Linked DNA regions of Stegostoma tigrinum. The protein of the gene in region 3 interacts with the protein of the main gene of each other region in a pairwise test. Links are inferred from orthologs where the notes say so. Each region holds a gene or a part of one and is shown on either strand. Other genes may lie near its edges.

Region 1 (11,127 bases), on a different chromosome or scaffold from region 3:
GTTTAGTGTAGTTTGATCTTTGTTGGCCAACACAATCATGATGGGCCAAATGACCTCTTCCTGTGCTGTAAAAACCTCTGGGGTCTATGACAGATGAAAAACTTCATTTATCAATGAAGTTGAAGAAATTAGGTTTTGATTTCCTTAGAGAAGAGGAAATTGAATGGCGATCTAAAGCAAAATAAAAATGCGAAATTATTATCACGAGTGAAAGCGTTGAGGATGAGAAGGCATACATTTAAGGTAATTCGCAAAAGAGGTAATTTGCATTATGGAAATAAGACTTTTTCATGCACTAAGTGGTTAGGATCTGGATTGCAGCAATGGAGACAGTGGTCAAGGGATATACAATTGATACTTTCAAAAGTGACTGTTGTTTGGAATTATAAAATTATACAAAAGAGGCCCTTCAGCCCATTGAGTCTATATCTCCAAAACTACACTAAATCTACACTAGCCCCACTTTCCAGCACAAAGCCCATGGCCTTGAATATAATGACACTTCAAGTGCACATCAAAGCACTTCTTAAAGTACATGAGGTTTCCTACCTCAGCTACCCTCCCAGGCAGTGCATTCCAGATTCCCACCACCCTCTGGGTGAAAAATGGTTTTCTCAGATCCCCTCTAAACTTCCTGCCTTTTATCTTAGCCATGTGTCCCCTTATTGTTAACGCTGAACTGAGAGGAACAGCTGCTTTCTACCCTCTGTGACCAACCCCTCATAATTTTATTCAGCTCTACCAGGACTTCACTCAACCTTTATCTGCACCAAAGAAAACAACCTGAGGTCTTCCAGTCTAATTTCAAAACTAAACTGCTCCAGTCCAGGCAACACTCTAGTGAATCGCTTCTGTGCCCACTCCAGAGCAATCACATCCTTCCTACAATGCAATGAGTAGAACTGTACATAGTACTCCAGCTGTGGCCAAGACAAAGTGTTGTGCAGCTCCAATATAACCCACTTGCTCTTATATTCTCTCCTTCAACTGATAAAAGCAAGACTCCCTTTTGCCTTCTTAACCACCTTATTAATCTGTTCTGCCATCTTCCGGAATTTGGAGATTTGGGGATGAAGTAGTGTGCAAGGTTTCTGGGAGAAATCAGGAGAATGGCAGGAAATGAATTGCTCATTAGGATAGCCCATGCAAACAAAATTGGTTACATTGGCCTCTCCTGCCTTGTAACTATTCAGTAACAAAGCTGCCTTTCTCAGAACCATATTAATATCTCCAGCTGTAATCCTTAACTCTGCTAACTTCCTCAGCCTCCCATTAAATTTGTTTTTTTTTGTTGTGATTTGTCCCCTTTGTTGAGTTGGCCATTCCTGAACATGTTATCCTGTTTCACATTTGTCCTTAAATACATATAATGTGTATCACTCTGAACAGATGGCCACGTGGGTAAGGTAGGTAATGTTTGGTCTCCTGAGCCTGTCTACTCCCTGTTAGCTGCATCCTTCTTTCTCTTTCCTTTTCATTATGCTTTCTTTTTCTCCTTCTTTATCGTCTTCTTGTCAGCAGCAGAGGATGCGTCATTGTGGAGGAGGCTGGAGTGGGATGCATGGTGAAGGCAGCGAGATGGGGCTGTAGTGGTGGTTCATGGTTACAGTGGACCCAGAGTAGAGAGATGTCAGGGAGATGGCAGCTGCAGCTTTGGCTGCGTGGCTGGCCCAGATCAGTAACCTCTAGCGATGTTGGCGGGGTGACGGCAGCAGAACTGGGTACTCCTGGGGCATCAGCAAGACCCGGAAAGGGGCCTCGTTGTGGCTTGGGGACTGGAACACCTTACAGAAACCCAGAGATACGCTTGACAAGAAGAACTGTAATGTTGAACATTATTTCTTACTTTTCTTCCTTTTTTGTCAATTGAACAGAAGATGAAGCTCTATTTAAGTAATATCTTTTTATTCATTTTGTAATCCCAAATGGCACCAGTCTGTAATGACAAAACACTTTTCACTTTATTTTCCCAAATACATGTGACAACAAAATCATTCATTCATTCATTCATTCATTTATTTGTTCATTCCTTTTCGTGGATAGCTCAAATTATCAACTTTCCTTCCCAATCACAAACACCAATTGCATTCGTAACTTTATTTATCTGTGTTGGCAGCTTGGCCTTGTGTTGAATTCAGAATTTTCTGGTGAAAGCTTCATACCTGGAACCTGAGCATGTCATTTAGATTATCACTTTGTAATGGCACCAAGGAGGCGGGCGTGTTGCTTTTTAGGTTGATCTGTTCAATTCAAATGGGCATAAAACTGCCTCTTTCAAAACCAAAGCTACAGGATTAAGACTTGACAATTTTGTGAACATTTAATACCTTGTGTCACTTTTAAAAGGAACAGTAAAGATTCCCTATGTTGTCCTGGCTAACATTTGTACTCTTGCCAATATAGTCAAACCTGTACATCTAATCTCATTGCTGTTTGTAGAATATTATTATGGGAGCAAATCAGCTGTCAGGTTCCCTAAAAACATTACTACATGTCAGAAATAATCAATTCTGCCTTGCAGGTGTAGAAGGTGATATTTAAATGCAAGTTAAATCATCATTTATATGTAGGTCTGTTGTTGAAATGCAGGTTATCCAAAGTCCAGCTATTTTAGGGAACTTAGGTTGGATTAACTAATGAATACCTGACACTCAATTCTCAATGTTGTGCTTAATAAATCGCACGTCTGGGCACTGGAATAAACTAAGCAAGGAGCCCAGTCAAAAAGTGAAGGCTTGTTGGAGCTTTGTTTATACTGATAAAATTATTTGCATATCCAACAGGAAGGTAAGTGGAAAAGCATAATCAATTCAATTTTTCTGCTTAAATTGCATTTTGCAATCCACTCCACAATTTAACAATCAAAATGCATGGGTGGTGGGGAGGGAAATTTCTGAAGCAGCATCTGGGCACAGGGATTTCAATTTCAGGCAATTTTGTTGAAGATTTTCAGAGGGATAAGTGTTTTAATGCCAGTAGCGACACTTTCTTTAACCCAAAAACTCCTTGAACAGACATCCTGACTGCTCTGAAATGAACAGGAACAGAAATTGCTGGAGAAATACAGCAGGTCTGCATCTGTTGAGAGAAAACAGCTAATGTTTCAAATCCAGTGACCCTTCTTCCTAACTAATAGCAGCTGTGTAAAGGAGAAGAGTGGGGGTTGGTGAGGAAAGGGGTGAGTGGATAGGTGGAGCCAGAGCCCAGAGAAAGAAAGAAAAGGGAAAGCAGACAAAGAGATTGTTGGTAGTAAATCAGGAAAGAAGAAAAGGTAGCCTTGGAACACTTGCTAATTTTTCTTAATTTTATTTTCATTATCATTTTTGGTTTGGACTGTGAACTGTCTGCTGAGAGCTGAAAGTGATCATTGGACTGTGAGCAGCAGTGTGTATTTCCAAAAAAAACTAAATGTTATTTCTTTGTGAGGCCAGATCTGAAAGTTAATTGCAGGTTGTTTCTTGTTGCAAGATATTTTGACTCTGGTGAAACCTTTAGCTTAACCAGATAGCAGATGTTAGGCCACTAATGAGGTCAGTATCTGGGAACTGGTGCCAACAAGTCTGGGAGAGAACATGATGATGAAACAGAGGGAGGTACTAGAGTTTTTTTGTGAACTGTGTTGAACTGGGGATTTCTGAGACAGGCAGTTTGGCTTTTGACACTGTTGCATGAAGATTTGAAAGCTCCCCGCCTAAACTCCCGTTATCAACTATCAGCAGTTCAGAGAATAGAAACAAAGATATTAGTGTTATTGAAACTTACTTAGCATGAGCTGGAAAAGGTGGCAATGAGCTCCATCAAAAAACAAATTGAGACAAACCTGTGTACCTGGGAAGCAAAGCAAACTGCTGAAATCATCTGGCCAGTTTTATTATTTTTCCTTTCCTTTTGATTTATTCTTTCTTTATGTTCTGAGGAAAGGTCACAAGACCAGAAACGTTAACTCTAATTTCTCTTCACAGGTGCTGCCAGACCTCCTGAGCTTTTCAAGCAACTTTTGTTTTTGTTTCTGATTTACATCTTTTGGTTTTCCTTAATTATGTTTGTTTTTACTGTTTTTTTGTGTGAATGGAGCTGAAAACAAAAGTTATTGGGTATAAATCATAGATATTAATTAGGTTATCTTACTGTTTCACTTTGCTCTGCTAAAGCTACTGTATTATTAAGAAGTTATTGTATATTTTGTTTAAGCTACAAACAGGGCGTCTTGTATTGATTATTGACTAAGTCTGGTTCAGGTTATTTAGTTAGGGACCACTGCGATCGATTTTGAGGGTCATTTTAATTTACCATGTTGCAAATACACAGTTAGGAATGCTGATCTGATTTGGTTGCCTGTCTCCATGACATAATACAAGGTAGCTCATAATGGAGTCTAGTTGAAATGTGTTGGCAATGGGATGGGGTAGTGAATGAGATGTTCATGCTCTGAGACTATCCAACTCAATATTGAGTCCTGAAGGCTGCAGGCTCCCCAAGCCGAAAATGGAATGCTGTTTTTTCCAGCATGGGCTGACTGTCACTGAAGCGCTGCAGCAAGCCCAAGACAGAGACGTGGGTCAGGGAACACAGTGATGTGTTGAAGTGGCAGGCAACCAGAAGCTCAGGGGCATTTTTACCGATAGAACATAGGTGTTCTGCAATGTGGTCACCCAGTCTTTGTTTTGTGTTCCTAGTGTAGAGGAGACCACATTGTGAGCGGCGAATACAGTAGACTAGATTGAGTGAAGTACAAGTAAATCACTGCTTCACTTGGAAGATGTGCCTGGGGCTTCGGATAGTGAGGTGGGAGGGGGTAAATGGTCAGATGTTACACCTTCAGAGATTATAGGGAGGTGTTGGGAGTGGAGGAGGAGTGGACCAGGGTGTCCCAGATGGAACAATCCTTGTGGAAAGCCAACAACAGAAGGAGGGGAATATGTATTGGGTGGTGGCATCTCACTGGAGGGTGGTGCAAATGGGAGTTTATAATCATTTGGATGTGGATGCTGGTGGGTGGAAAATGAGGAGAAGGAGAACCCTATTGTTGTTGTGGGAGAGAAGAGGGCAGAAGTGTGGGAAATGGGTTAGACATGGCTATCATAACAAAGTGTGGAGCTGGATGAAGACAGGAGTACAAAAGCTGGTGTTTCAGGCCTAGACCCTTCATGAAAAAAGGTCTAAGGCTCTGTTGGCTCTGCCGAGTATAACCAGTCTATATATGTTTATATATTGTATCTTTACGGAGGATGAGGAGTGAAAAGGATGCAGGTTATCAAGTAATCTGAAGGTAAACAACAGTGTGATGCTTATGGGTGAGTTTGAGGTGGCAGGGCTGAAAGTTTAACTCAAAGGAGCAATGGGGACTTTCTGGATTCTTTATGAGTTAGTGGCCAATCACATGTGGATGTTATTGAGGGGAAGTGAGAAATATATCATTGTTTTCATTTAAGGTGCTGTCAAGTGAAATGGAAAGTTGTTAGAGTGCAGAAGAAGGCCACTCGATCCATCATGTCTGCATAGCCCAGATCATGGATACAGTGAAAAACTGACGAAAAGTCACCGGGCCAGAAATGTTAACTGTGCTTTCAGCCCACAGATGCTGTCAGACCTGCTGAGTTTATCCAGCAATTACACTTTTTTTGTAATAAAAAAGTTGGAAGTGCAGGTGCTGGAGCACTGTACTGAGGCGAACTTGTAGAAGTTTATAAAATCATAAGGGGCATGGATAGAGTGAATAGCCAAGGCCTTTTTCCCTGGGATGGGGGAGTCCAAAACTAGAGGGCATAGGTTTAACGTGAGAAGGGAAAGATTTAAAAAGGTCCTAAGGGGCAACTTTTTCACACAGAGGGTGGTGCATGTATGGATTCAGCTGCCAGAGGAAGTGGTGGAAGCTGGTACAACGACAACATTTAAAAGGCATCTGGATGGGTATATGAACAGGAAGGGTTTAGAGAGGGTCTAGGCCTGAAACATCACCTTTTGTGCTCCTGAAATGCTGCTTGGCCTGCTGTGTTCATCCAGCTTCACACTTTGTTATCTCGGGTTTAGAGAGGTATGGGCCAAAAGCTGGCAAATAGGACTAAATTTATTTAGGATATCCAGTTGGCATAGATGGGTTGGACCGAAGGGTCTGTTTCCTTGCTGTACATCTCTATGACTAAGTTGCACCAGTGTACATCACTTGGAGCAAAAACAAAGTTGCTGGAAAAGCTCAGCAGGTCTGGCAGCATCTGTGAAGGGGAAAAAAAAGTTAACATTTTGGGTCCGGCTACACTTCCTCAGAACATCATTTGGTGGTTTTACTGCTTTACCTTTTGGGTGAGAATTTTAATGGAGTGCCTTGCGGTGCCCAGCCCCGTGTAACCCTGCACATTGTTTCTACTGAGATAATGATCAAAAACCTTCTTGAATGTTCTCCATTGAACCTGACTGCAGGGCACAGACGTGGTTGCATCTTCTTGGGAAGAATGATAGCAAGGCTCCTGGCTATACTCTGTGTGTGTGTGTGTGTGTGTGTGTGTGTGTTCCCCTGGGGGTGTGGATGTGTGAAGTTTGAAGTAAGTGTGGGGTCTGGAAGTTTTTGTGTGTGTGTGTGTGTGTGTGTGAGTAAGTGAGTAGGAGTTGCATTGTGGGGCCGTGAAGATGGCTCGCTAGGAGATGGCGCTGTCTAGCTGCCTGGAGCTGGGCAAAGTTTAGTAGCAGATTGTGTGAGGGGGACAGCACAGTCAGTCAGACAGACAGACACACACAGCTCTGAGTCCGCCTTGAAGCTGAGTGCAGAGTGGGCTGTGGGTGGTGGTGTTTAAAGGGGGGGGGGGGGGGGGGATTTACAGACACCTCCAGCTTTCCCTCCCCCCAGCGCGAATGATGAGTGACAAAGAAGCGGCTGCTCCGCGCTCCAGGAAACACCGGCTGATGGCAGCTTTCGAGTCCGGGGAGGAGAGCCCCGGCGCCGGCTCGGCGAACGGCACCGCCCGCTTGCACTGCTTCATCTGCGGCGGTTGTATGAGCCCCGGGCGGGAGCAGCGGCTCCAAGTGCGGGCAGGGGGCTGCCGAGGCTCGCCTTATTTCCCGTTCCTGCTGCAGCAGGAGCCAGCTCCCGGAGCCCGGGGGGTAAGCGCTGAGGGCTGGGTACAGGTCTGCTCCGTCTGCCGCTGCTTCCTGGGCGAGCAGTGGGAATCCTTCGAGAGGACCCGCACCCCGGTCGACAAGCGCATGTACTGGCTCAAGAGACCGCACCAGTGCGACAGCCGCACCGTGCCCCAGGAGTGGAACCCCAGCTACGAGCCCGAAGCCTGCAGCGTGGGGCACGGCAGCAAGGAGGCGCTCGACTCCTCTGTCTCCTCCTTGTCTGACCAGGACCTGACTGACCAGGAGCTGGAGACCCCCGCTCCCACTCACCGCCGGGGCTCTTCCCTCGCCCCTTCCCCCCGGGCCGGCCGACCCCTCTCGCCGACCGCCGACCACCGCTCTCCACCGAGCGAGACCCCGGCCCGCCGGGCACCCCCGGGCGCGGGAGACTCCTCCGGGGACGAGTCCCACCCGCCTGGACCCCGGGAGCGAGGGGGCGGGGTGGTCGCCAAGGGTGGGGGCCCGGCCTGCTTCGTGTGTGGTGCCGGCCTGCCCCCGGACGCTGGGCACCAGGTCCACGTCCACAAGCAGGAGGGCGGGCCCTGCCGGAGGCCCTTCTTCCCCTTCCTGTGGCTCCACCGACCCCCGCCCGGGGCTTGCCCCCTGAGCCCCGGGGGCAGCACCCTGGTGTGCACATTCTGCCACGCATCGCTCATGCAGCAGTGGAGGGGCTTTGAGATGGCCAACGTGCCCGTACTGCAGAGGCTGTACATGGTGCCCTTGAACACCGGAGTCCTGGGCACGGCACTGACGAGCCCCCCGGGTGAGAGGGAGCCCAGTGGCGGTAGGGAGACCCCAGGCCAGGAGTGCTACCTGTGCGGCCAGGACTGTAGCAGAGACGCCAAGGCTGTGCGTTCGAGGAGCATCGACAATGGTGGTGGTGGTGGCAGTGCTCGGGACGGCCCCATGTACTTTCCGTTCATTCGCCTCCTGCCCCGTCCCCCGAACGGCCCGGAGATGAGTGAGTGCGGGGAGGTCCGATGCTGTGACGATTGCTATGCGGTGTTGAAGGACACATGGGGGGCCTACACCGCTACTGGACGGGAGGAGCTGATCTCGTCCGCCCAGGCCTTCCTCACGCGGTACCTGCGGATGAGCGGCGCCGCCGGTGGCCCTCGCCCGAACCCGGCGACCGGGCAGGTGTTCAGGGCGGCCCGGGTCACGGTCTGCCTATTGTGTGGCGCGGAGCTGGAGCCGGGCCGCGAGTTCCAGTTGAACGTCGACCCCCCTGGCCGCCACAGCCAGCGTGAGCCCTTCTTTCCGTTCCTGGCAAGCCGCCCGCGCACGGCCACCGTCCGGCCTGTAGATTCGACCAGCCCAGCGTCAGCCTGCGTCCTGTGTTACCATGACCTCCTAGAGCAGTGGTGGAGGGGGAAGAACACTCAGCATCCCAGCAGCCCCTGGTCCCGGCAGTACAAAGTGGACACCTTTGTCTGCTTCTTCTGCAGGCAGGAGAGAAAGCGTCACCTCGGCCTGAAAGCCATCACGGTAAACCGACTCCCTGTCTTCCTACATACCCCTCGAGTGGCCGAGACTCTCGTGGTGGATGATGGTGAGCAGCTGATAGTTGGGGCGTGTGAGGATTGCAGGGCTATGGTACTGGCTGGAGGCACCTTCAAACAAGGAACCCGCACGGATTCGTTATCACCACCCAGTCACGTGAAGGTAAACCGTTTACTTCTCTTTCAGTGTGATGGCCTTGTCCATTTAAATCTGATTCGCACTGTCCACTCTGCAGTTCACTTGTCCTTTTACGCTCGTTTACAGTGTGCGTCCTTAGATCTAGGTGCCATATTTCATGATTTCCAAAATCAGTCTTGACTTGTCACAGGTAATGTTTTCATGACATTTGTGGGAATGTTTGGTTAAATGACACACGTTGGAATGAGTTCTTGAGAACTCTGTGCCCAGCTAAAACTCACAAAGGTCAAACCCAGCATTGTAACGGGGTGTATCCATCACACACAACCAGATCAGAGGTGTGTGCCCGCTTGATATAAGACAGCTGATTGTCCTGAAGTAGAACTGGAGGCTAGTGATGTTATCTGATGCTTTGTTGCTTTGACACGACAGACTTCATTTTTTTTTTGTCATTCATTCAGGGGAATGACAAATTACGCTCAATTTTCGCCCCGTTTTCCTCTAATGTTTAAGACTAAGAAAGGGAATTTTAAACGAACAAATCGATTTTGTGAAAGGTATTTTGCAAGTTGCCAACGTGTCATGCAAGGAGTTAAGCGTAGAGTTTATTTCCCCAGGCATCGTTTTATCAAGATGCTTGTCCCAAGTGAGCATGTGCTTCCTTATAGAAAGTTGGTTATCACTTAAGGTCTTTAGATCTAATGTTGTTCGCATAACGCTCAGATAAGTAATCTGCGCATTTCAGGCAAACTGATCCTTATTAAAATAATTTGACAATGGTTGTTACCTGACTGATGGGACAAATGCTAAGTTGGTGCTGATTTGTCACACACCTTTGTGCCCTCACTGCGGGGAGCAGGTGTTCATGTTTTGGCGCTTGCAGGGGAATGCCCCTGTCTACCTCAGTCTTCAAGCGGCAGTGCGTGTTGTGTTGTGGAAGCAGCTGTGCATCATTTTGACTTGAGACTGCAACAGTCCAAGTTATTACTGGGACAGCAACAATGGTGGGACAGGTGAAAATTTCACACAGCCACACTGCCAGCTTGTATTTTTCTTTTATTATTTGTGGGTGCTTCAGCAACATGGGTGCGTGCAATTTCTGTTAGAAGTCCATTTGAAAATACCCAGTGAAGTGTAGATGCTACTTTTCTCAATTGAGTTGCGTCTGAGGAGAACATCCTGACTTGGTGATGCAAATTATTGGCAGGTCAGGTTCTGTCAGGGAGTAATCTAAAAGGGTGAATTCAGAGAGTTACACAAACTGTGGGATATTGAGCATCAGGGTGACTTTTTATTGATTCAGTGAATCACCACTGATAAGCTGTTTAAATCTGGCTACACTGAAGTGCTGCATGACATGCAAGCTGGATTTTCACAATTTGCAGTGTTGACTAGACTCCAATTTCCTTCATTGTGTCTAAGTGCTTGGCAAGTCTATTGTTTGTTAAACACATTTTCCCATAAAGGATGTGGCTCTTAAGCTGGAAAAATGCACTTTCTTTCACACTGGGCATGTACATTTTGGGAAACTGTATATCTGCTCCTGTGCACCCCCTCCTCGTGTGCAAGGTCACCTTTACCCTATCATGCAGTTTCAGACAGGATGCACTGACCCCAGACTACAGTTAAATGCTGCATCTTGGAGAAATAGGTCATTGCAAATAAGAGGAAAGCAGAGTTTTTGCAAACAAACTTGAACCTGCACAGTACTACAGCATGCTGTGTATAAAGGTTTATTCATCTTTTGTGGATGTTTAATGTTGGAAATGTTTACCCAGTTTCTGCAGTTACTTCACCCTAATCCATTCCTAAGACTGCTTGATAGTTTGTGACCCTCTCCACTGTTTTTGTTTAAAAGGCTTTTATTTGAAATCCGCACTGAAACAACACAGTCCATTGAATAAACAGCATTGGTCTGTGAAGGCATCTTTTAAATGTTTCACTCATGACTGACTGACTTTGCCCGTCCAGTAGGAACCATCAGTTCTCCGACTTACCCGATGACTGTGTTTTAACATGTTAAATTTAGTACCTTTTCTAATTTCCTTTCAACATAGGGTCAAAAATAGAAGAGAGATGATACCAAAGTTTGAATTATATTGGATTAAGAGGAGGCCACTCAGCCCATCAAACCTGTTGACTGTTGGATCAAGGCTGATGTGCGCATCAAGGCTAGTAAGAACTGCAATGCTAGAGTCGGAGATAACACCATGTGGAGCTGGAGGAACACAGTCGGCCAGGCAGCATCAGAGCAGGAAACTATCCATTTTTCTCTCCCACATATCCGCCCTTCACTTCCCACTGACCAATCCCCACCACTCCCTACCTGCCATCTCCTATCACCATCCCACCAACCTTCCCCAGCCCCACCCC
Region 2 (11,143 bases), on a different chromosome or scaffold from region 3:
TTTAAATGGGTGACCCCTGATTTTTTTTTAGTGACTCCTCGTTCTAGATTGCCCCAGTAAGTGGAAACACCTCTCCAAATCTACTCCGTCAAGACCCCACAGGACTGCATATGTTTCAGTCATCACGCCTTACGCTTCCAAACTGCACTAGAGAAAAGACTAGTTTGATCAACTTTTCCTCTTACGATAACCCAATCATTCCAGGTTACAGTACAGGAAACTTTACTTGAATTGATTCCAACACTTTTGCATCCTTCCCCAAATAAAGAAATCAATGCTGTGGACAGTACTCCAGATGGGGTCTCATCAATGCCTTTTACAACTTAGTGATAAACTTTCGTAACCAATTCCCCTTGTGATAGATGATAACATTTGATTAGTTTTCCTGATCACTTCTGTGCCTGCCTACTAACCTTTTGTGATCCGTGCACAAGGACATTCAGATGGATCTGCAACTCAGAGCTCTACAATCTCTCACCATTTAGATAATGCACTTCCTTTTGTCAAATGGGCAATTGCACATTTTACCACATTATATTCCATTTGCCAGATCTTTACCCACTCAATCTATCTATATCACTTTGCAGCCCATCCTTACGGTCTGCTCATGACTTACTTTCCACCTATCTTTGCAATATCAGCAAAATTTAGCAGACACACCTTCTGTCCCATCATCCATTCTGTTTATGTAAATTGCAAGCAGTTAAGATTCCAGCACCAAACCCTGAGAAAAATCACCCGTTACTTTTTGCCAACTCAAAAAGACTCATTTATTCCTACTCTCCGCTCCATCTTAGCCAGCAAATCTTCTAGCCATGCCAATATGTTACTTTCTCCACCATGAACATTTATTTTCTACAATAACCTTTGTTTTGGCAGTTTATTTAATGTGTTCTGCAAAGCTAAGGACAATATAACCACCAATTCCCCTTCATTCACAGCCTGTGTTACCTCCGCAAAAGATTCCAACAGTTCAAACCTGACTTATCCTCACAGAAGTTGACTGTGACTTAAGTTATTCAAATACTTTAAGAACAACTTCTAACATTTCCCAATCTCAACTGTTATGCCATCTGTCTTGTTGTTTTCCACTTGACCTTTTTGTTTTAAAAAAAGGATTTTCATTAACTAGCTTCCAACATATTGGGGGCTTTCTTCAAATCAAGGAATACCACAAAATTACATCCAATGTATCATCTACCTCACTTCTTTTAAGACCCTAGAATGATTTCCATCAGGGCCAGACAGTTGTCAGCCCACAGTTCAAGTTAGTGAAGAAGCAGTGTATTTGCAGACTGAGAAGAAGATAATTCAGTCTTCGAGATGTAGCACATAGATGTGAAATAGTGGGGAGCAAAGGACACCAGGGGCATCAATATGAATGGGATCAGGTAACTGCAGTCCCAAACAGCCAGACAGCAATGGAGATGTTGGAGAAGCGACTGTATCAAAGGCTGCGAACACGTTAAAATGGACAAGGAGGGATTATTCACCTTTGTCACAGTTAATCGCGACTCCAATAAGAGCCACTTCAGGGTTATGACTGGGCAGAATCCAACTGAAATGATTCTGGATTCTGTAAAGTCACTAGGATTTTACAGACAACATGTTGAAGGGTTTGGAAAGAGATAAATGGTTGAAGATGGGATGGTAGCCTGTAAGACAGAGGTCAATGTTTGGGTTTAAGGAAAGGAGTGAAAGGAGAGTAATACCTGAAGACAGAGAACCATTAATATTAACTAAGGCAGGAGTCAAGATGTGAATGTAGTTGGTTGATAAGTTAGCAGGAATACGATTCAAGTATCAGAAGACCGATCTGGTGTAAAATTCCTGCTAGGCTGTGTGGATGTTTCGTCACTCAGCAAATTTGACGTTAATATGCAAACAAAGCTCCATGATAAATAACATGGTGCATTGTTTTGCCAAAATTTTAAAGGAAGTACACAAAAATTTGTGACCGACAAAAATTTAAAAGAAACAACAGAGTTTTGAGAAGGCACAAGGCAGTGAGGAGAGAAAGTAGAGAATGATACAAATCAGAACTAAGGGAGGTCCAAGTACAGAAAGAGCATCTAAGGGGAGATCCAGTGTGGTAGATTAGTGGTAGGAAGAGAAGTGGCACAGGCAGCAGAATTCGGGCAAGACCAAGTTTGCTGTATTTTAGCTTGTATGGTGCATACCAAGGACTATATGGCAGCATATATAAAACTTCCAATAACATACTAAAACCTTAACATCTCTAAACTTAACACATTTTACTGCTCTCTTTTAGAATTTATCAATTAGGAAACAGTTTAAAACTAATCATGTCCACAAATGTAAACAATACAAACAAGCTAATGTGATACATATGCAAAGTTTTCCATCAATCCATCAGTTAAATGAGCAGGATAATCTAACTTGGTAAATGAAATTATTGTGATCTTCATTGACCAGATTGTCAGATTTCAGGGCTCATTGTAGACAACAAGTAACAGTTTGAGTCCTCCAATCTAACCACATAACGTAGATATCATTAAAAACAGTTTGATAGAATTGTACCATAGTTATGTGACTGCAGGTCACCGCACAAAAAAAAAGTTTCCTGTTTCACATCATTCATGTCACTCTCATATTTATATATAGGGCAAGTCAATTCTCAAGTTTCTTCCAAACAATTTCTTGTGACTGTCATCCTGTAGCAAAAACAAATATAGTCATTCTGCTTTGCTGGTTATAGTTCTTACTAATTTTCAAAGCAGATTTTAATAGCTAATACCTTCTGAGAAGTTTACCATTTGAATATTTTAGCTATACCCTTGATTCAACCTATTTACCAGACAGTGGGTCTCTCCTTCCCTTTCTCAGACCTTGTAGTCCTATATACTTTATCCATTCACGGGATGAGGGCACGGTGGCTAGGCAACATTTATTGTCCATCCCTAATTGCCCAGAGGGCAATTAAGAGTCAACCACGTTGCTGTGGGTCTGGAGGCACATGTAGACCAAATCAGGTAAGGATGGCAGTTTCCTTCTCTACAGGACATTAGTGAGCCAGATAGGTTTTTCCGACAATCGACAATGAATTCACGGTCATCATTAGACTTCTAATTCCAGACATTTATTGAATTCAAATTCCACCAACTGCCATGCAGGATTCTAATCCAGGTCCCCAGAACATTATGTGAGTCTCTGGATTAATAGTCCAGTGATAATATCACTAAGGGAGCTAGGGTTTTTTCACTGCAGCGTAGAAGGCTGGGAGGTGACTAGAAAGAGGTTTAGAAGATCTTGAGAGGCATGGATAGAATGAGTCATCAGAGACTTTTTCCCAGGGTGGAAATGACTATCACAAGGGTGCATTATTTTAAGGCAAGTGAAGGAAGGTACAGAGGAGATGTCAGAGGTAGGTTCTTTACACAGAGTGTGGTGGGCATGTAGAATGCAGTGCTGGCAGCGGTAGCGGAGTCAAATACTTTAGAGACTTTTAAGCGACTCCTAGATAGGCACACGGAGGATAGTAAAATGTAGGGTAGGCAGCGTAGTTTGATCTTAGTAGGATAACAGGTCAGCACAACATCATGGGCCAAAGGGCCTGTACTGTTCTATGCTCTTAAACTACGATCCCACCGTACTTCATCTTACCCAAATAACTTGTGCTTTCTCTTTAACTTACCAATGCAAAACCTACATTTTCGATATAACTAGAGATACCAACAAAACATTCTAGAAAGTGAATGATCACTGACAAGAGAATGCACGGTCACAGTGGTGAGCTCCTCTCAAATGATGAAGCTCCAGCTTCATTCCTCCATCAGAGGGGCAAACAGTTCCCACTGTCGGTGCAGAAGAAGCACTGAGAACGATGGTAGTAAACGAGTCAGAGATAGTAGAAATTGCAGATGCTGGAGAATCTGCGATAACAAGGCGCAGAGATAGATGAACACAGAAGGCCGAGCAGCAAAGGTGACGTTTCGGGTCGGGACCAGAGTTAGGAGTGAGTGCCAGCCAGCCAGCTTTAAGCTGCAGTCAGGCCAGCAGCAGGTGCCGCACTCGTGGCACTTTCCCAACTGACAAGTTGTCAACACAGCCCAACCTCCTCTCATCTTTAAAGTCCAAACATTAATTTAAAAGAAAACCACAAACACTCACTAACCAAAAGAAGTGGAGACAGCACCACCTCCCCAAAAAAAAAACCCCAGAACGGTGTTGAAGACAAAGAACTGTCGGTTACAAGGCGGGTTTTAATGAAGTGGCCTCGGAGCTACCCATAAACCGACGAAACACAGACAACTTACCTTGGGCGCTGCCGCCATGTTGTCGCCGGTGACGTCGGCGCGGTCACGTGCGGCGAGAAGGGAAACAGTAAGGCTGCGCCCGCCGTCTACCAACGATCATCGCCAATGCAAGATGGGAGGGCCCGTGCTCCACAACAAGGAAGACCGGCCATATCGACGCGCCCTCTGTGGACGGCGGTGGCAGTACAGCTGGCTGAAGCGTAGTCCCCGGTCGGGGTAGAGTGATGAAGGGTCTAGGCCCGAAACGTCAGCTTTTGTGCTCCTGAGATGCTGCTGGGCCTGCTGTGTTCATCCAGCCTCACATTTTATTATGTTGAGGTCTGTTGGAGTCGCTGCATTTTGGGCGGTCAATCCGCTTTCTCTTTCCACTGGAGCTGTTCGACCTGCCGAGTTTTTGTCCGTTTTGGTGAAGAGTCGCTGGACTCGAAACGTTAATTCTTGTTTTCTCTCCACTAGAACTCCGTCCCCAATGGCACCGCGGGTCGACCTACAACAGATGGACTGCAGCAGTTGAAGAAAGCAGCTCACCATCAAGAGAAATAAAGATGGTCAATAAATACTGGCCAGCAATCCCCAAGTACCACGAATGAATTTAAAAAGCTGCCAGGCCTATGTTTCTCTAGTTATTTCTGATCTTGTTTCATATGGAGTCATACAGCACGAAAACAGCCCCTTTGGTCCATATATCCAGCACCTTAGAGATAGTAGGAACTGCAGATGCTGGAGAATCTGAGATAACAAGGTGTAGAGCTGGATGAACACAGCAGGCCAAGCAGCATCAGAGGAGCAGGAAAGCTGACGTTTTGGATCTTGACCCTTCTTTCTTTTCTTTCCAGCTTTCCTGCTCCTCTGATGCTGCTTGGCCGGCTGTGTTTATCCAGCTCTACGCCTTGTTAACTGCTGTTCTTAGTGTTTTTTTTATTAAAGTTAGAGCTTGGAGGCCATTCATCTTGTCTGGTCCACGTGAGTAACTCGTCTCCTTTCTCCCCTCCATTCATTAAAGCACAAGTCAGAAGTGTGATGGAATATTCTCTCCACTTAATGGACAAATGGAGCTCAAGAGGTTTACCATCGTCCAGCAAGACGCAGTTCACCTGATTGGCCCCACATCCTCCACCTTCAACTTATGGTCTCTTCACTGCCAATGGGCGGTGGCTCAGTGGTTAGCACTGCAGCCTCACAGTGCCAGGGACCTGGGTTCGATTCCAGCCTCGGGCGACTGTCTGTGCGGAGTTTGCACATTGTCTGCGTGGGTTTCCTCCAGGTGCTCCGGTTTCCTCCCACCGTCCAAAGATGTGCAAGCTTGGTGGAGTGGCCATGCTGAATTGCCCGTAGTTTCAGGGGTGTGTGGGTCACAGGGGCATGGGACAGTGTGGACTTGTTGGGCCGAAAGGCCTGTTCCCACACTGTAGGGAATCTAATCTAATACACAGGGTTAGTAGTGCACAATCAAACTAATCTTGATCACCAGTAAAGTGATGGAAGCTGTCATCAACAGTGCTATCAAGCAGCACCTGCTCAACAATAACCTGCATATTGATGCCCAGTTTGAATTCCATCAGGGCCAAACAGCTCCTACCTCATTACACCCTTGGTTCAAATATGGACAAAAGAGCTGAGATGAGAGTGACAGCCTTTGACATCAAGGCCATATTCAACTGAGTCAGGCCGCATTAAGGAGCCTGAGCAAAACCAGAATCAGTGGGTATCAGATGGCAAATTCTCCTTTTGTTGGAGTCATGCCTGGCACATAGGAAGACGGTTGTGGCTGTTGGAGGTGAATCATCGCAGCTCCAGGACAGCTCTGCAGGCGTTTCTCAGGGTAGTATCCTAAGCCTAACCGTCTCCAGCTGCTTCAACTTCCTTCTGTCATGAGATCAGAAGTGGAGATGTTCACTGTTGATTACAAGATGTTCAGCAACTGTTCAGATACTGAAGCAGTCCATGTGCAAATGCAGCAAGATCTAGAGAATATCCAGGCATGAGCTGACAACTAGCCAGTGACATTCATACCACACAAATACCAGGCAATGACCATCTCAAATAAGGGGCAATCCAATCACCATCCCTATTACATTCAATAATGCTACTATCACTGAATTCCCCACGATCAAAATCCTTGAGGTTACCATTGACTAGAAATTCATCTGGACTTGCCACAATAATACAATGTTTAGAGGTTTGGAACATTGCAATGAGTAACTCACTTCCAGACTTCCAAAAGCCTATTTACCATTTCTTGATTTCCCTTGTTAGGTTGGTGACAATGGTGACCTGTCATCTTGAACCATTGAAGTCCATCTGGTGCAAGTACATTAAGAGTGCTGAATGGAAGTGCTATGATTTTGACCTACTGACAGTAAAGGAACAATGATATACTTCCAAATCAGGATGTCTTTTGGCTTGGAGCGCATCTTATGAGTGATAATGTTCCTATGTATTTACTACTCTTGATCTTCTAGGTGTTGGAGGTTCTGAGTTTGGAAAAAGCTGTCAAGAGAGCATTGTTGAGTTTCTGGAGTGCATCTTGTAAATTGTACATACTGCTGTTAATGTACATTTGTGTTGAAGGAAGTGAATGTTTAGGTAGAGGGAAGGGGTTCTGATCAAGAGGGGTGCTTTGACTTGGCTGGTGTCAAGCTTCTTGAGCATTGTCGGAAATAGAGAATCACTCCTGATTTGTGCCTTGGAGATGGTGGACCAGCAATGGGATACAGGAGGTGGGTAACTCGCTGCAGGATTCCTAGCCTCTGGCCTGTTAATGTAACCACGATGCAGGTATGACTGATCCAGTTTAGTTTCTGGTCAATATTAACCCTTAGGATGTTGATAGTATTAGATTAAGTCATGGTAATGCTATTGGATGTCAAGGGGCAGTGATTAGATTTTCATTTGTTGGTGATGTCATTGCCTGAGCTTGTACAACACAAACATTAACTTGCCACTTATCAGCCCAAGCAGGATGTTGTACGTCTTGCTGCACATGAGCATGCACTGTTTTAATATTAAATGGCACTGAATATGATGAAATCAACCAACATCCCCCTTCTGATTTGATGATAGAGGGAGAGCCATTGATGAAGGTGCTAAAGATGGTTGGGCATAGGACACTTCCCTAAGGAACCCATGCACCAATGCCTTAAGGCTGAGATGATTGACCTTTAACAATCACTGTGCTATCTATGATTCCAGTGGAAAATTTTCCTCAATTCCAGTTGACTTCACATTTGCTAAGGTTTCTTGATAACTCTGGACTAGAGAGGGATTTGCAGAGGGGAAGGATGCAAATGTTGTTGTCAAAAGAAGATACCAAGTGACATAGGCAGAACTAAAACAAGTTTCTGTTGAGAAAGTAGGAGGAATTAGGACTAAATTAAAAATCAAAACCTCAAAATCAATAACCTCTGTATTAGCCATGTGCAAATTGGGTATGGTAAATAGGATTAGACATTTAAATGTGTGGCTTAAAGAATGATATGGGAGAAACAGGCTATGATTCCTGGGACACTAGCATTAGTACTAGGAATATTGGCAAAGTCTTCAACCGAACTGTGTGAGGACTGGTGTTCTCACAACTCATAATAATTAGAGTGGTATAGAGAGCTTTAAACTAATATTGGGGATGAAGGACCATGTGACAGAATATGTACTAAATTAGAAAGAGAAGACAAACAAGGGAACAAATCAGTCATAAGAGAAATTGTCATCAGAGTATACCAATAATCTTTTGGTGGTACAGAACTAGAGTATAGCTGAAGAAAGACATTTCATCAAATATTTTGTCTAACACTCATCAGGACAGTTTGCAAGAAATGCCAGTATAAAGGGAATCAACATCTGTATTGTATGAACGGCGAGCGCTGATTGGTTCACAAGTATACTACAATATAAAAGTTATTTCCTTTCATATGTTAGTTAAGTTAAAGATTATATTAGATCAAGAGAGGTTTCTTAAAAAGTTGTCAAACAAAGCAATAAGCCTGGGGATTTGGAGCAATTTAGGATTTAGCAAGAGAAGACCAAGAAACTCATAAAAAGAACAGATGACAAAATGGGCAAGTATTGGCATGTTACTTTGACATAATAGAGTAAATGCTATAATCTGTCATTGTTACAACCAGACCTCAATTCACTGTGAACCCAGATTAGGAAAAAGGAACTGGCCCGTTTTAACTTTTCAGTCCTGTGCCTCTGTTGATCATGACAAGTTTAACTTAAAACAAAAGTTCTTTTCTCTCATGGATGACTTTCCTCATTCCAGATAATTTATCTTTTTGTAAATGAAGAAACTAGCATCAAGTGAACACACAAATATGTGCAGAAAAGGAAACTGATTGCCAGCTGAACATCGAATTTCAACATGGAGCTTAGGGGTGACGCTTCACTGAGATTTAAGTATCTATATAGTTATCGGTAGGCTAAAATGTTTCAGACCTTTGTTCTAACGTTATACTAAATTTCAAATTGTTATATAGTGTAATATCATTCATGTTTTTCTTTTCTGTTATACGTTTTTGGGCCAAGTGTGTGGCAGTCTGTTCTGAATGTATTGAGTCACTGAACTTCACAGTAAACAAAAAGGGAAAAAAGAAAACATATGGTCTGTCAAGCCAGGTCTTGCTGTGGGATCTGACTTTTCCAGTATTACCGTCAGCTGAGTTCATATGGAAATGAAGAGTCTTTCTTACATGGAGGGATATTGGAAATGCTGATGTCCAACAGAGTCTAGAAGACCTTGTTCTTAATTCATTGAAAGCTAACATGTAATTGCAGCAACCAATTGTGAAGGTTGATGATACGTTAGCCTTCATTACAAGAGGATTTGATAACTGCAGTGAAGAAGTCTTGCTGAAATTGAATAGAGCTTTTTTTAATACCAAACACTGAGTATTGTATGTAGGTTTGGTCTCTTTTCCCAAGGTTGGATGAGGAAACTGAGCTTATATTCCCTAGAGTTCAAAAGAATGAGGGTTCATTAAATTATATAAAATTCCTACAGAGTTTGAAGTGTAAATACAGGAAAGAAATTTCCCCTGTCTGTGTTGTCTGGAACTAGAAAGGACAGTTTAAGAACAAGAGATAAGCATTTAGGACTGAGATAAGGAAAGAACTCTCCACTCAAAGGGTGATGCTTCTTTGTAATTCTCTCTGCCAGAGAGTTTTGTGGGCTAAGTCATTGAGTGTATTTGATAAAGAGATTGATTGTTCTCTAAGTTAAACATATTAAATGGTATGCAATGGTGCAGTAAAAGATCAATTGAGTAGAAGATCAGTTGAAGGCTTATTGGAGTCCCTATGCTGAATGGGCTATTCGTGTTCCCATTACCTACATTCCTATACAGGTGTCTTCAGCTATTTTCACAAAAACAAGATTTTCAAAAAATAATCAATCCAGTCATAAAAGAAACTGGAATATACAAGCTAACACTCAAGCAAGAAAACTGTTGTCATGACAAAGAAGACATTCCAGTTTGCAACAGCACAGTAAGAAAGCAAGTTGGAACATGTCAATCAATTCAACCATTTAGGAAACACTAACATCTGATGTTAAAAGCAGCGCAGAAATACAGAAGAAGGATTGGACAAAACAAAGGTGTTTTACAAAATTAAGCAAAAAAGAAATGTCAGTTTGAGTCTTGAGACATGAATCCATGTACAAGAATTTAATCCTTGATGGTACAATGAGTAGGGGTGAACCAGCTTCCATTTTTCTAACCTCTTCAATGAGTCACAACATAGGCTTAAGTTCTTTTTAGCACGAGCCACTCCTCTCCTCAACTAAAAATATTGTTGACTTTTACTGCAGCAGTAAGGAGCCAATTGCGACCTTTTCCTGAGATAAAAATAGGAATAAGTTTATTAACTGCTAGCCCCAAAAATAATAATAAAGATGTGATACAGCCTTTGTGCAGTCACTTCAGCCTTCATCCACACACATGGATAAAAAGGGATAGCGTCCACTACAAAGACAAAAGAATATATAGTTTAGAGTCCTTTGAGTGACCTTGAAATGTATGGTTTTAACCTGAGTTCATGATTGATTTGTTGGATTCTTGGACTGCTTGCAGTAGCAAATACCGCCGTTATCTTTCAAGTCCTTGTTTTCTGATGGTCTTTTACAGTCAGAGCTGTAACGAGTGCTTTTCTTGTTGACAGAGAGAGAGAGAAAGAGAGAGTCCTTTCCAGCTCTACAATGTCTCCTGTTCTGTCAAAGGATCTCCTCAAAATCTAAAAATATTGTCCTTTGGTAGAAATGTTAATATCAGCTCAGACTGACTTGTCTGATCCATGTTAGTTTTGTGAAGGCTTTTCTCACAGAACTAAACAGTATTGAAATAAAAATTCAGCTTGACTCTTGAATCTGTGTTCTAAAATGTGTTTAGTGTCATGATCAACTATAGTAATTCTCAGAATAACCAGGTTATGGCTGACATGGGATGGGGGAGGGTAGGTCATGGTGTCAGGTGATGGTTGTCGTCATTTAAGTAAATAATTTTGACTCCTTTTTAAAATCAAATCAGTCCACAATGCCTGGTCAACAGAATTCAAAGATCTGTAGTCTGTGTTTCATATCATTGTGTCACTTTCCTAACATAAGGAAATGGATGCAATCAATATTGCAAAAAAGGGTCAGTTTTGAGGAAGGGTCACTGGACCTGGCACATTAACTCTGATTTTCTCTTCACAAGATACTGCCAGATCTACTGAGCTTTTCCAACAACTCCTGCTATTGTTGCAATAAAAGGGGTCAGAATGAACGAACAGGGAAGTCTGTAGAATAGTTATATTGTTTCTGGACTAATAATGCAGAACTCACTGCTCATGTTCTGAGGATATTGGTTCAAATCCCACCATAGCAGATGGTG
Region 3 (11,194 bases):
ACTCCATTTTAACTGATGGAGGTGTGCTGCTGTTTATAGCTAAACAACTTAATGTTAACAAGGTGCTGGAGTGCCTGTGTCTGTGATTATGATGTAGAAATATGCTAGGAGATCATTTTGAATCACACAATACTGCATTATCTGTGTCTAGTTCTTATGCTAGAGAAATTAACATTATCACCAAATCAGCACAGTGCAAAAGGAAGTCATTCAGCTCATCGTGCCTGCACCAGTATTCCTTCATCAAGTGCAAGTATCCTGCTGAAAGTAAAAGCCAACAATATGATTACGCATCATAGGAACAGGTCAGGTCTCAGCAAGGATCCTTGTTGTGCCAACTAGTCACAGCCTGCCAATCTGAGAATAAGCTACTTAATTTTACACTGTTTTCTGATCATTTATTACAAGACCATGTTATTATCAATGCTGGGTGGTACAGCAACAGTACATGTGCACAAATGTAGCCCTGCAATGTAATATCACAACAAAATGGTAAAGTGGCAGCGGCCTGGAAAAACAATGGCACTGCCCATATTGTCACAGGCATGCTGGAGCCAAACACATGAACATCAATTCATTTTCACTGAAATAAACTCACACTTTGCTTCCTGCTCTCTTACCTCATCCAACTTGCAGGTCAGGGCTTGCAGTTACCAAAGTAACAACCCTTATATATTCACAGAGGATGTGTTGTAGAACGGTTGCATTCATTGCCAAAAATATTTCAATATAAAATCAACAACACTGAATTTGGAATTAAAAAATGCTGCAAGTTGCTGACACCAGATTCACATGAGAACACACGTGCACATTATGGATGTGGCTGTACATGGGCTGCTTCCGTTTTGCGCCCGACCACCAGACCCACCAATTCTCTGCCCATACCACCCACAAACCCTGTCCAATCTCTGCCCACCCCTCCTCTGCCCTCTCCGCTCCTCAGCCCCTTCCTCCCATTCCTCAATCAGCAGACCACTCACCCTCCAGTTTCTGAGTCATACTAGATTCAAAACATTGATTCCTGTTTCTTTCTCCAAAATGTTGCCAGACCAGGTGAGTTTCTCCAGCATTGTCTGTGCTTGCTTCAGGTTTCCAGCATCCTCAGTATTTTGTGGTTTTATTGGTAAGAGTAGACAAATAGTTACCCCCGTGTTGTCAAATAGCAAACCTAACAAAATGCACTTACATAGGGCTGTAACCAATCGAAGGTTGAAACAAAGTTCAGAAAGTTCTAGGATCATTGTCTGCAGTATCCATGATATACTTCAATCCTTGCAGTGGCCACTGATCTAAGAATGCTTCCTTTTATTAATTCATTCACAGGATGAGGCTGTTGCTGGCTAGGCCAGCATTTATTGCTCATTCCTAAAGGGCATTTAGAGGTCAACTACATTGCTTTGGGCACTATTGATACTGTGAGCGACTAATACAGAATTTGATGCAAATGCTGCTGTTGAATGGCAAACAAACAGCGACAGTCCCTTTAAGCTGCATCCATCCTGGACCATTGTACGACTACATTGGCCTCTCTAAAAGCAGTCCCAAGAGAAGATCCTTCATTACACATCTGGAGAATGGATCTGAGATTGAGGAGCATTCCCTCAAAATCATGAAAAAGCAGCTGTAATGGGAATGTGAAAGATGGTTTCAGCCGGGCCACAGGAGTTACAAGGTGGTATTGAAATTAGTTAGAAACATGTGCCCAGCCCCTCAGATCTCTACTCATCAGAGCTATGTAGGGGGCTGGCCTCTGTCCACATCAGATTCAGCACTGCCATAACAATGGCCACTCTCAGGGGTGAGACAGTAAACAGTGTCTAGCCAGCTGAGGGGATTAAAGTTATTTCTGAGAGATTGCGCGGGGTAAATTCTGGATTATAATCCAGCTCTCTCCCCATATCCCTTGAGACCTTTAATGTTTAAACACTTATCTATCTCTTTCTTGGATATATTCAAGTGACTTGGCCTTCACAGTCTTCTGTGAGACAGACTTCTCCAGGTTCATTACCCTCTGAGTAACTGTCTCAGTCGTAAATGGTCTCTCTCATGTCTGGAGACAGTGACTATTCTAGATTCCCCAATCAGGGAACAATTTCTCTGCCCCAACCCCCACATCTAGTTTGTTCAGCCCTGTTAGAATTTGATACATTTCAATCAGATCCCCCTCATCCTTCTGAACACCAGTGAATACAGGCCCAGTCTCTCCTCATAAGACAGCCCTGCCATCTCTGTTATCAGCCTAGTGAACCTCTGCTGCACTACCTCTGCGGTAAGTATATATTTTCTTAGATAAGGAAACCAAAGCTGCATGCAGGAGCAGTCTCACCAAAGCCCTGTAAAACTGCACAAAGACATTAGTACATCTGAACTCAAATCCTCTTGTAATGAAGGCCAATGCACACTTTGAACTCTTAATTCTTGCTGTAACAGCGTAAAAACTTTCATTGATTGGTGGATAAGGACACTCTTCATTCATCGCTATTTCCCAATACATCACTGATTAAATAATACACGGCCTTTGGTTTCTCACACCCAAGTGTACAACTTTTAGCCATGTTGTCCAGGATCTGCCATGTGTTTGCACAGTCTCACAACTTGTCTAAATCACCTTAAGCTATCTCATAACCCTGCCCAGTTTTGCGTTGTCAGCCCCATCTAGGTCATTTTCATATGAAGTTAATAGCTGGGGCTCAAGTACTGACTATTATTGTACCTCACTAGTCTTCCATTCGGAAAAAGGCCCATTTATTCCCAGTCTATGTTTCCCGTCAATCAAATTTCAATCCATGCCTCGATGTTACTGTAGAGACCTGCGTGATTTTTCTTTTATTTTTCTCTTTTTTGGCGCACACATGAACTGAGATTTGGATTTCTTAAACTTTCAACTGTTGTGAGTTTTAGTGAAAAAAAAAACAAACGTATGTGTTTGCTGTTGACAACTGACCTGGTCGATCAGATGGACCAATGTGCCAACAATTGGCAGATGGAGTTTAATTTAGATTAATGTAAGGTGGTGCATTTTGGAAAGGCAAATCAGGGCATAACTTATGCACTTAATGTGTAGGTCCTGGGGAGTGTTGCTGAACAAAGAAACCTCGGAGTGTGGGTTCATAGTTCCTTGAAAGTGCAATCACAGATTGATAGCATAGTGAAGAAGAAGTTTGATATGCTTTCATTCATTGGTTAGTGCATTGAGTAAAGGAGTTGGTAAGTCCTGTTGCAGCTGTACAGGACATTGGTTAGGCCACTTTTGGAAAACTGAGCGCAATTTTGGTCTCCCTGCTTTCGGAAAAATGTTCTGAAACTTGCAAAGGTTCAGACAGAATTACAAGGATGTTGCCAGGGTTGAAGGGTTTGAGAACCAAAAATAAAACTGTGGATGCTGCAAATCAGGAACAAAAACAAAGTTGCTGGAAAAGCTCAGCAGGTCAGGCAGCACCTGTGAAGGAAAAAACAGGGTTAACGTTTCGTGTCCATTGACCCGAACTGTTAACTCTGTTTCTTTCCTTCATTGATGCTGCCAGACCTGCTGAGTTTTTCCAACAACTTTGTTTTTAAAGGATTTGAGCGACAGGGAGAAGCTGAATAGGCTTATGCTATTTTCTCTGCAGTGTCAGAGGCTGAGGGATGGCGTTACAGAGGTTTATAAAGTCATGAGGGGCATGGATAGAATAAATAGACCAGGCTTTTTCCCCAGGGAGAAGAATCCAAAACTAGAGGGCATAGGTTTAAGGTGAGAGGGGAAATATTTAAAAGGGACCTGAGGGACAACTTTTTCATGCAGAAGGTCGTGATGTCTGGAATGAGCTTCCAGAGGAAATGGCGGAGGCTGGTAGAATTAAAACATTTAAAAGGCATCTGTGTGGGTGCATGAACAGGAAGTGTTTCGACAATATGGGCCAAACGTGGGCAAATGGGCCTAGATTTATTTAAAATATCTTTTCAGCATAGACGAGTTGGACAGCAGGGTCTGTTTCTGTGCTGTACAGCTCTATGACTCTAATTGTGGATGTAAGGAATACTGTAGATGATTTGGCAGCAAGCATTGCTATGCCGAGGGCTGGCAGCTAGTCAGATGTTGAATTGGTCAATCAAAAGAGAACCGAATCTAATCAGCACCCAAAGAGATAATTGATCCAAAAAGGAAAAAAAGAAAACTAGTTCTGTTTGGTTTTGTGAGGTGCAGAGTGATTTTGGAAGCTTCTGTACTATTCTGCATCCAGTTAAATTGGGGCGGCACAGTGGTTAGCACTGTAGCCTCTCAGCGCCAGGGACCTGGTTTCAATCCCAGCCTTGGGCAACTGTCTGTGCGGAGTTCGTACATTCTCCCCATGTCCGCGTGGGTTTTCTCCAGGTGCTCCAGTTTCCTCCCACAGTCCAAAGATGTGCAGGCTAGGTGGATTGGCCATGCTAAGTTGCCCATAGTGTTCAGAGTGTGTGGGTTATCAGGGGTTGGGGTCTGGGTGGGATGCGCCAAGAGGCAGTGTGGACTTGTTGGGACGAAGGGTCTGTTTCCACACTGTAGGGAATCTAATCTAAAGAATTGTTGAATATTCAGACAAAAGAATCACAGTCTGCGAGGAAAAAAGTAAACAATTAGGAAGTCTACTGAAACTGCTAATATTAACCAATTATCTTGAAATTAGACCTGTAGTCACACACCCGTGAATAACTCCTTGTCCAGGGATTGCATGAAGGCTTGATGTCTATTGTTTGAAACTGGTTAACTGAAGTGGTGATGTGGAGATGCTAGTGTTGGACTGGAGTGGACAAGGTCAGACACTTTGATCTTTTACTTATAAATTCTGTGTGTAATACTACCTCTTTTACTAACACCTAAAGGAGGAGTGAGGCTCAAAAAGCACGTTTTCAAATAAACCTGTTGGGCTATATCCTGGTGTTGTGAGATTTCAAACTGAAGTGGAAAATTATAATTTTTGCTTTCTTTTCAATTTATCTGTTAATTCTGTCTGTCAGTCTGCCAGGTGGTGTGAGACTGTTGATTATAAACAAAAAAAGTTGTGTTTAAATCATGGATATTCATTAGATTACATTGTTGTTTAGTATTGTTCTGTAAAAAGTTACAGTACTAATTATAAACTGTTAATTTTTAAGTTACAATCTTGGTGTCCTAGATCTGATCTTCACAAAGTCTGTTTAGGAACAATTGGGTATTTTGAGGGTCACTGAATATTTTAATTTCACTCTATTGCATATCCAGTGATTATAGGGCTGATTTATTTTGACTTGCTATCTCTGTTATCCTTGTGTATTCCTGTCCCCAATACTCCCAATCTCATGTGCTTTGATTTTCCCCTTTAATCTCTTACATTGGTCCTTATCAAAAGCCTTCCAAAAAATCCAAAACCACCACATGCACAGTCTGTCCTTTATCCATTCTACTAGTTGTATCCTGGAGAAATTTTTTTAGATTTGCGAAGCACAATTTCCTTTTTGTAAATCCATGCTGACTGTGTCTGATCAATTATTGTTTTCTAAATGTTCTGCTTTAAAATCTTTGATAATGGACCATAGTGTGTTGCCCACTACTGATGTCGGGCTCCCTGGTCTATAATTCCCTGTGTTTTCTCTCCATCCATTTTTGCAGTGGCGACATTTACCACTCTTCAATCTGTAGGGACTGTTCCAAAATCTATAGAATTTGAAAGCTAACCAGCATGCATCTAATGTTTCCAGGGCCACTTCCTTTTGTATTCTGGAGTTTATTATTCAATGTATTGTTGTCACATGTATCAAGATACAGTGAAAAATGCTCTTTTGCAGTCCATACCATAGAAAGTGCACCTGGAAGGCAGACAGATTGCAGAAGACAGTATTACAACCACAGAGGAGGTGGAGAGAGAATGAGCTCAGAATCAACACTTGAGGGGACCATCAAAAATCTGATAACAGCAGGAACAAGTTGTACTTGAATCTGTTTATATGCTTATTCAAATTTCAATATCTCCTGCCCAACAGAAGATAGTGCAAGAGAGTTTAAATGGGTGGTTGGGGTTTTTGGTAGATGTATAGATGGAGTCAGTGAATGATAGATCATTGGGCCATGGTGATTTGTCACCCTTTAACACCATTCACTTCCCCAGCATCATTGTCTTTCTAATAACGATATACTTCAATTCTATCCTCTCGCTAGACCCTGATCCCCTAACATTTCTAGGAAGTTATTTATGCCTCCTTCCATGAAAACAGACTTGAAGTACAAGTTCAATTCTTATATTTCTTTCTGCTCTACTGTAATTTGACCAGCTGCTGCCTTCTGAGGACCTATGTTTGTCTTTACGAATCTGTTGGTTCTTCACACATTAAAAGAAACTTTCACATCATCCGCAATTTTACTCATTTTATTTTCCTTGTAGCGTTATTGTCATATTCTGTGCTGTCGACCTCTCTGTTCTCATTTTGATGAAGTATAAAACGTTCCCAATGCTCAGGCTTCAATACTTTTCTTCTGGCAGGTTTGTAAGTTAGGTATTGGAGATGTAAAATTACCCGAACAAATTTAACCCTTATTGCACGCATGTCTGACTTCACGCTTCACGCCTTTCCCCTACCCGCTGTTATTTGGGGAAAATCCCTTCAAACCAGTACTTTGGTGGTTCCTACCTGCACAGACATCTTTTGTTCAGAGACAACCTATCAAACCAGGGACGAACCAACATGCCAACTGCCTGCCAGGGCCAGCGAGTGCGCATGCTCAGTAAACGGATCCGGCCCTGGCGCATGCGCGCCGTGTTGGACGCGGCCATGGAGGAACGGAGAGGCGGTTGGTCGATCCCCGGCGCGTGTAACAGCCCGTAACGAACACAGAATCAGGAAAACGCCGCTCAGCAATGGCGGGTACCACCGCCGCTGCTGGCCGGGGCGCATCCATGAACTTCTGGCGGGCCTTGCTGGTGCTGTGGAGCTGCTGCTCGGACACCGTGTGTCGAGGCGGCCCCGGGGTCAACGTCTACCTGAGCGTGGAGGAGACGCGGCGGCTGATCGGTGCGTCTGGGCCCACGGGAGAATTGGGGCTCGGGTGGAGGGTGGGCGTCGTATCTGCTGGGGTTTGGGTAGGGGGGGGGGGATGTTGGGGGCGTGGCCTGTGGGAGGCGGGGAGAGACGGGGCAGGACCTGATGAGACGGCAGTGGGTACGAGGAAAACGGGTATGGGGCTAGGGGAGAGGGGATCGATGGTAGTCGTTGGTGTGGATGCTACTGCCTAAAGAACCTTAGTAAATACTTACTGAGGGGATAACAACGTGTAGAGATGGATGAACACAGCAGGCCGAGCAGCAGCGGAAGAGCAGGAAAGCTGACGTTTCGGGCCTAGATCCTCCTCCAGAAGGGGAGGAGAAGAAGGGGATTCTGAAATAAATAGGGAGAGAGGGGGAGGCGGAGAGAAGATGGATGGAGGAGAAAATAGGTGGGCAAGGAAACAGACAAGTCAGGGATTCGGGGATGGAGCCAGTAAAGGTGATTGGAGGTGGCGAGTTAGGGAGAACATAGGCTTCGTCGGAGGCTCACTGATGATGTTACTTAGAATGGTGACGAAACGTCTGAAAACTAATCTTCCAGCTCAGCGAGCAAACTCACACCCAGAACATAGGTCAGTCCAGGGAGGACGGACTGTTCAAGGAGGTGGGATGAAGTTAGTACGTAGGAGATGGGGTTGGGGCTTGAGGTGGGACGAGTAGTGTCCCAGGATAGGTGGGAGAAAGGACTGATTAGGGAGGTGGAGACAAGCTGGGCTGGTTTTGGTATGCCATAGGTAGAGAGGAGATTTTGAAGCTTGTGAAGCCCACATTGATACTATTGGGCTGCAGGGTTCCTAAGTGAAATATGAGGTGCTGTTCCTGCAACATTTGGGTAGCATTGTTGTGGCACTGCAGGAGGCCCAGGATGGATATATCTAAGGAGTGGGAGGGGGTGTTAAAATGGTTCACGACTGGGAGGTGCAGTTGTTTATTGTGGACCAAGTGTAGGTGTTCTGCAAAGCAGTCCCCAGACCTCTGCTTGGTTTCCCCGATGCAGAGGAGGCCTCATCTGGAACAGCAGATACAGTATACCACATTAGCAGATGTGCAGGTGAACATGCATGTGGAAAGTCTTCTTGAGGCCTGGGATGGAAGTGAGGGGGGAGTTGTAGCACTTCCTGCGGTTGCAGAGAAAAATACTGGGTGTGGTGGCGCTGGAGGGGTGTGTGGCATGGACAAGTGAGTCACGGGGAGAGTGGTCCCTCCAGAAGGCAGATAAGGGTGGGCATGGAAAAATGTCTTTGGTGGTGGGGTCAGCTTGCAGATGGCGGAAGTGTCGGACAATGATACTTTGGATCCAGAGGTTGGAGGAGATACATGAGGACGAGGGGGATTCTGTTTTGGTTGTTGTTGTGGGGTGGGGTGTGGGGGAATGTGAGGGATGCGTTGCGGGAAATGTGGGAGACATAGCCAAGGGTGTTCTCAACCATTGGTTGGGGCGGGGTGCAAAGTTGCGGTCCTTGAAAAATGAGGACATCTGAGATGTTCGGGAGTAGTATGCCTCATTCTCAGAGCAGATGTGGTGGACGCAAAAGAATTGGGAATAGGAAATGGCATTTTTGCTGGAAGGTGGGTGGGAGGAGGTGTATTCCAGGTAGCTGTGGGAGTCGGTGCACTTGAAATGGATATCTGTTGCCAGGTGTTTGCCAGAGAGGGAAACAGAGAGGTCCAGGAAGGAGGGAGAGATGGCCCAGGTGAACTTAAGGTTGGGGTGGAAGGTGTTGGTCAAATCGATGAACTGTTCGAGCTCCTCCGTGGGAGCATGAAGCAGCACTAATACAGTCATCAATGTAACGGAGGAAGTAGTGGGGCTTAGGGCCAGTGTAGCTATGGAAGAGGGATTGTTCCATGTAACCTACAAAGAGGCAGGTACCCATGGCCACCCCCTTTGTCTGTAGGAAGTGGGAGGAATTGAAAAAGAAGTTGTTGACGATGAATTCAGCTAAGTGGATGAGGGTGTCAGTGGAGGGGGACTAGTTGGGCCTGTGGGAGGGAAAGAAGCAGAGAGCCTTTAGGCCATCTGCATGGGGAATGCAAGTGTATAGGGACTGTACGCCCATGTTAAAATGAGGTGTTGGAGACTGGGGAATTGGAAGTTTTGGAGGAGGTTGAGGGCATGGGTGGTGTCAAGGACATAGGTGGGGTGTTTCTGGACCACAGGATAGAAAATAGAGTTGAGATAAGTTTGGTGGGGCAGGAGCAGGAGAAGACAATGATTGACCAGGGCAGTCAGGTTTGTGGATTTTAGGAAGGAGATAGAAATGGGCGCTGCGGGGTTGGGGAATAATGAGGTTGGAGGCTGTGGGTGGGAGGTCACCTGAAGTGATAAGGTTGTGGATGGTTTGGGAGATGGTGTTTTGGTAGTCGGGGGGTGGGGTCATGATCAAGGTGGCGGTAGGAGGAGGTGTCAGAGAGCTGGTGTCTGGCCTCGGCGATGTAGCGATCAGTGCGCCATACTACAACTGCGCCTCTCTTGTTTGTGGGTTTTATGGTGGGGTTGGGATTGGAGTGGAGGGCTGTGCATTCTGTCGGGGAGAGGTTGGACAGGGTGAGAGAGATGGAGAGGTTGAGGCGATTGATGTCTCGACAGGAGTTGGAGACGAAGAGGTTGAGGGAGGATAGGAGGCCTTGGGGTGATATCCAGGAAGAGGGGGTGTGTTGGAGGCAGGGGAAGGGGTCAGTAGAAGAGGGTGAGGCTCACGATTAAAGAAGTAAGCACGGAGGTGATGGAAAAACTGTTCAACGACCAAGTGTGAGCAGTATTCGATTCTGGTGGAGGGGATAAAGATGAGCTCTTTACCGAGGACTGACCGTTTGCCCTCATTAAAGGGGAGGTCTAGGGGTTGGTGAAGACCTGGCAGGGCTGGGTGCTATTGTCTCCTCTGGATCTGCTGGCTGTGGAGGTGGTGGGTGGAGGAGGAGTGGAGTCGGTTGGTAAGTCCTAGATGTTGGCTGTGGCGGAGGCTCCTGAGGAGGATGGCCATGGACTTGTTGAATTTTTTACAACATGCAAAAAGGCCCCTTGGCCTATTGTAGTTGCATTAACCCTCAGGCTATTTATCTGTTCTAATCCCATTTTCCATCACCAGGCCTGTAGTTTTATATTCTGTGCTATTGTGTTTTACCTCAAAATTGCATGGATGCAAGAAGTCCTAGGACCTAGAGTTTCTGTGCTCAGAACATTGAAGATGACAGGATGGAGCACAGTTAATAATGAATCCAGGATTCTTGTTATAACTAAGAGCTCAGAATGCAAAGATAAAGATGTGTTAAATGTGTACAAGGTATTCGTTTACCCTCAGCTGGAGAGTTTTTAGAAGTTCTGGATGTGAGTTTGCTCGCTGAGCTGGAAGGTTAGTTTTCAGACGTTTCGTCACCATTCTAGGTAACATCATCAGTGAGCCTCCGACGAAGCGCTGGTGTTATGTCCCGCTTTCTATTTATCTGGTTAGGTTTCCTTGGATTGGTGATGTCATTTCCTGTTCTTTTTCTCAGGGGACTGTAGATTGATTTGGAGCCAATGTGTTTGTTGATGGAATTCCGGTTGGAATGCCATGCTTCTAGGAATTCTCGTGCATGTCTCTGTTTGGCTTGTCCTAGGATGGATGTGTTGTCCCAATCAAAGTGGTGTCCTTCCTTATTTGTATGTAAGGATACGAGTGATAGTGGGTCATGTCGTTTTGTGGCTAGTTGATGTTCATGTGTCCTGGTGGCTAGCTTCCTGCCAGTTTGTCCAATGTAGTGTCCAAGGAAACCTAACCAGATAAATAGAAAGCGGGACATAACACCAGCGCTTCGTTGGAGGCTCACTGATGATGTTACCTAGAATGGTGACGAAACGTCTGAAAACTAACCTTCCAGCTCAGCGAGCAAGTTCACATCCAGAACCTCAACCTGAGCTACAAATCTTCTCAAAACTCGCTAGTTTTTAGAAGTTTTGAATACCACTTTTCAAGAAGGACGTGAAGTCATTCAGATATAGCTGAGCTGGTCAGATGGATTAAATGGTGTCAAATGTGACTTAATCCTGAAAAGTGTGAGGTCATCTATTTTGGAAGAAATAACAAAGCAAGGGAATAAATACTGAATGGTAGGACTGTGAAGTACAGAGGAACCTCGATGTGCATGTGCATGGATTCTTGAAGGCAGCAGGACAA

Evidence for each region. The genes of interacting proteins can lie anywhere in the genome.
Region 1: the proteins of cep63 (region 3) and gse1b interact in a two-hybrid assay, tested with the Homo sapiens proteins (2 studies listed by BioGRID and IntAct). The link is inferred for Stegostoma tigrinum from reciprocal best matches to the Homo sapiens genes CEP63 and GSE1.
Region 2: the proteins of cep63 (region 3) and tbc1d15 interact in binary tests that used the Homo sapiens proteins (3 or more experiments, as listed by UniProt). The two-hybrid records come from large-scale screens. The link is inferred for Stegostoma tigrinum from reciprocal best matches to the Homo sapiens genes CEP63 and TBC1D15.

What each region holds. Positions count from the first base shown.
Region 1 is NC_081369.1:53,028,385-53,039,511, reverse strand, and holds the start of gse1b (genetic suppressor element 1), read left to right. Parts: upstream 1-6,761; 5' UTR 6,762-6,846; coding exon 6,847-8,778; intron 8,779-11,127.
Region 2 is NC_081371.1:44,264,444-44,275,586, forward strand, and holds the start of tbc1d15 (TBC1 domain family member 15), read right to left. Parts: upstream 4,367-11,143; 5' UTR 4,296-4,366; coding exon 4,278-4,295; intron 1-4,277. UniProt on the Homo sapiens protein: Acts as a GTPase activating protein for RAB7A. Does not act on RAB4, RAB5 or RAB6.
Region 3 is NC_081367.1:1,143,551-1,154,744, reverse strand, and holds the start of cep63 (centrosomal protein of 63 kDa), read right to left. Parts: upstream 6,810-11,194; 5' UTR 6,625-6,809; intron 1-6,624. Other genes in the region: tyrosine-protein kinase RYK, read left to right, coding at 6,852-7,005. UniProt on the Homo sapiens protein: Required for normal spindle assembly.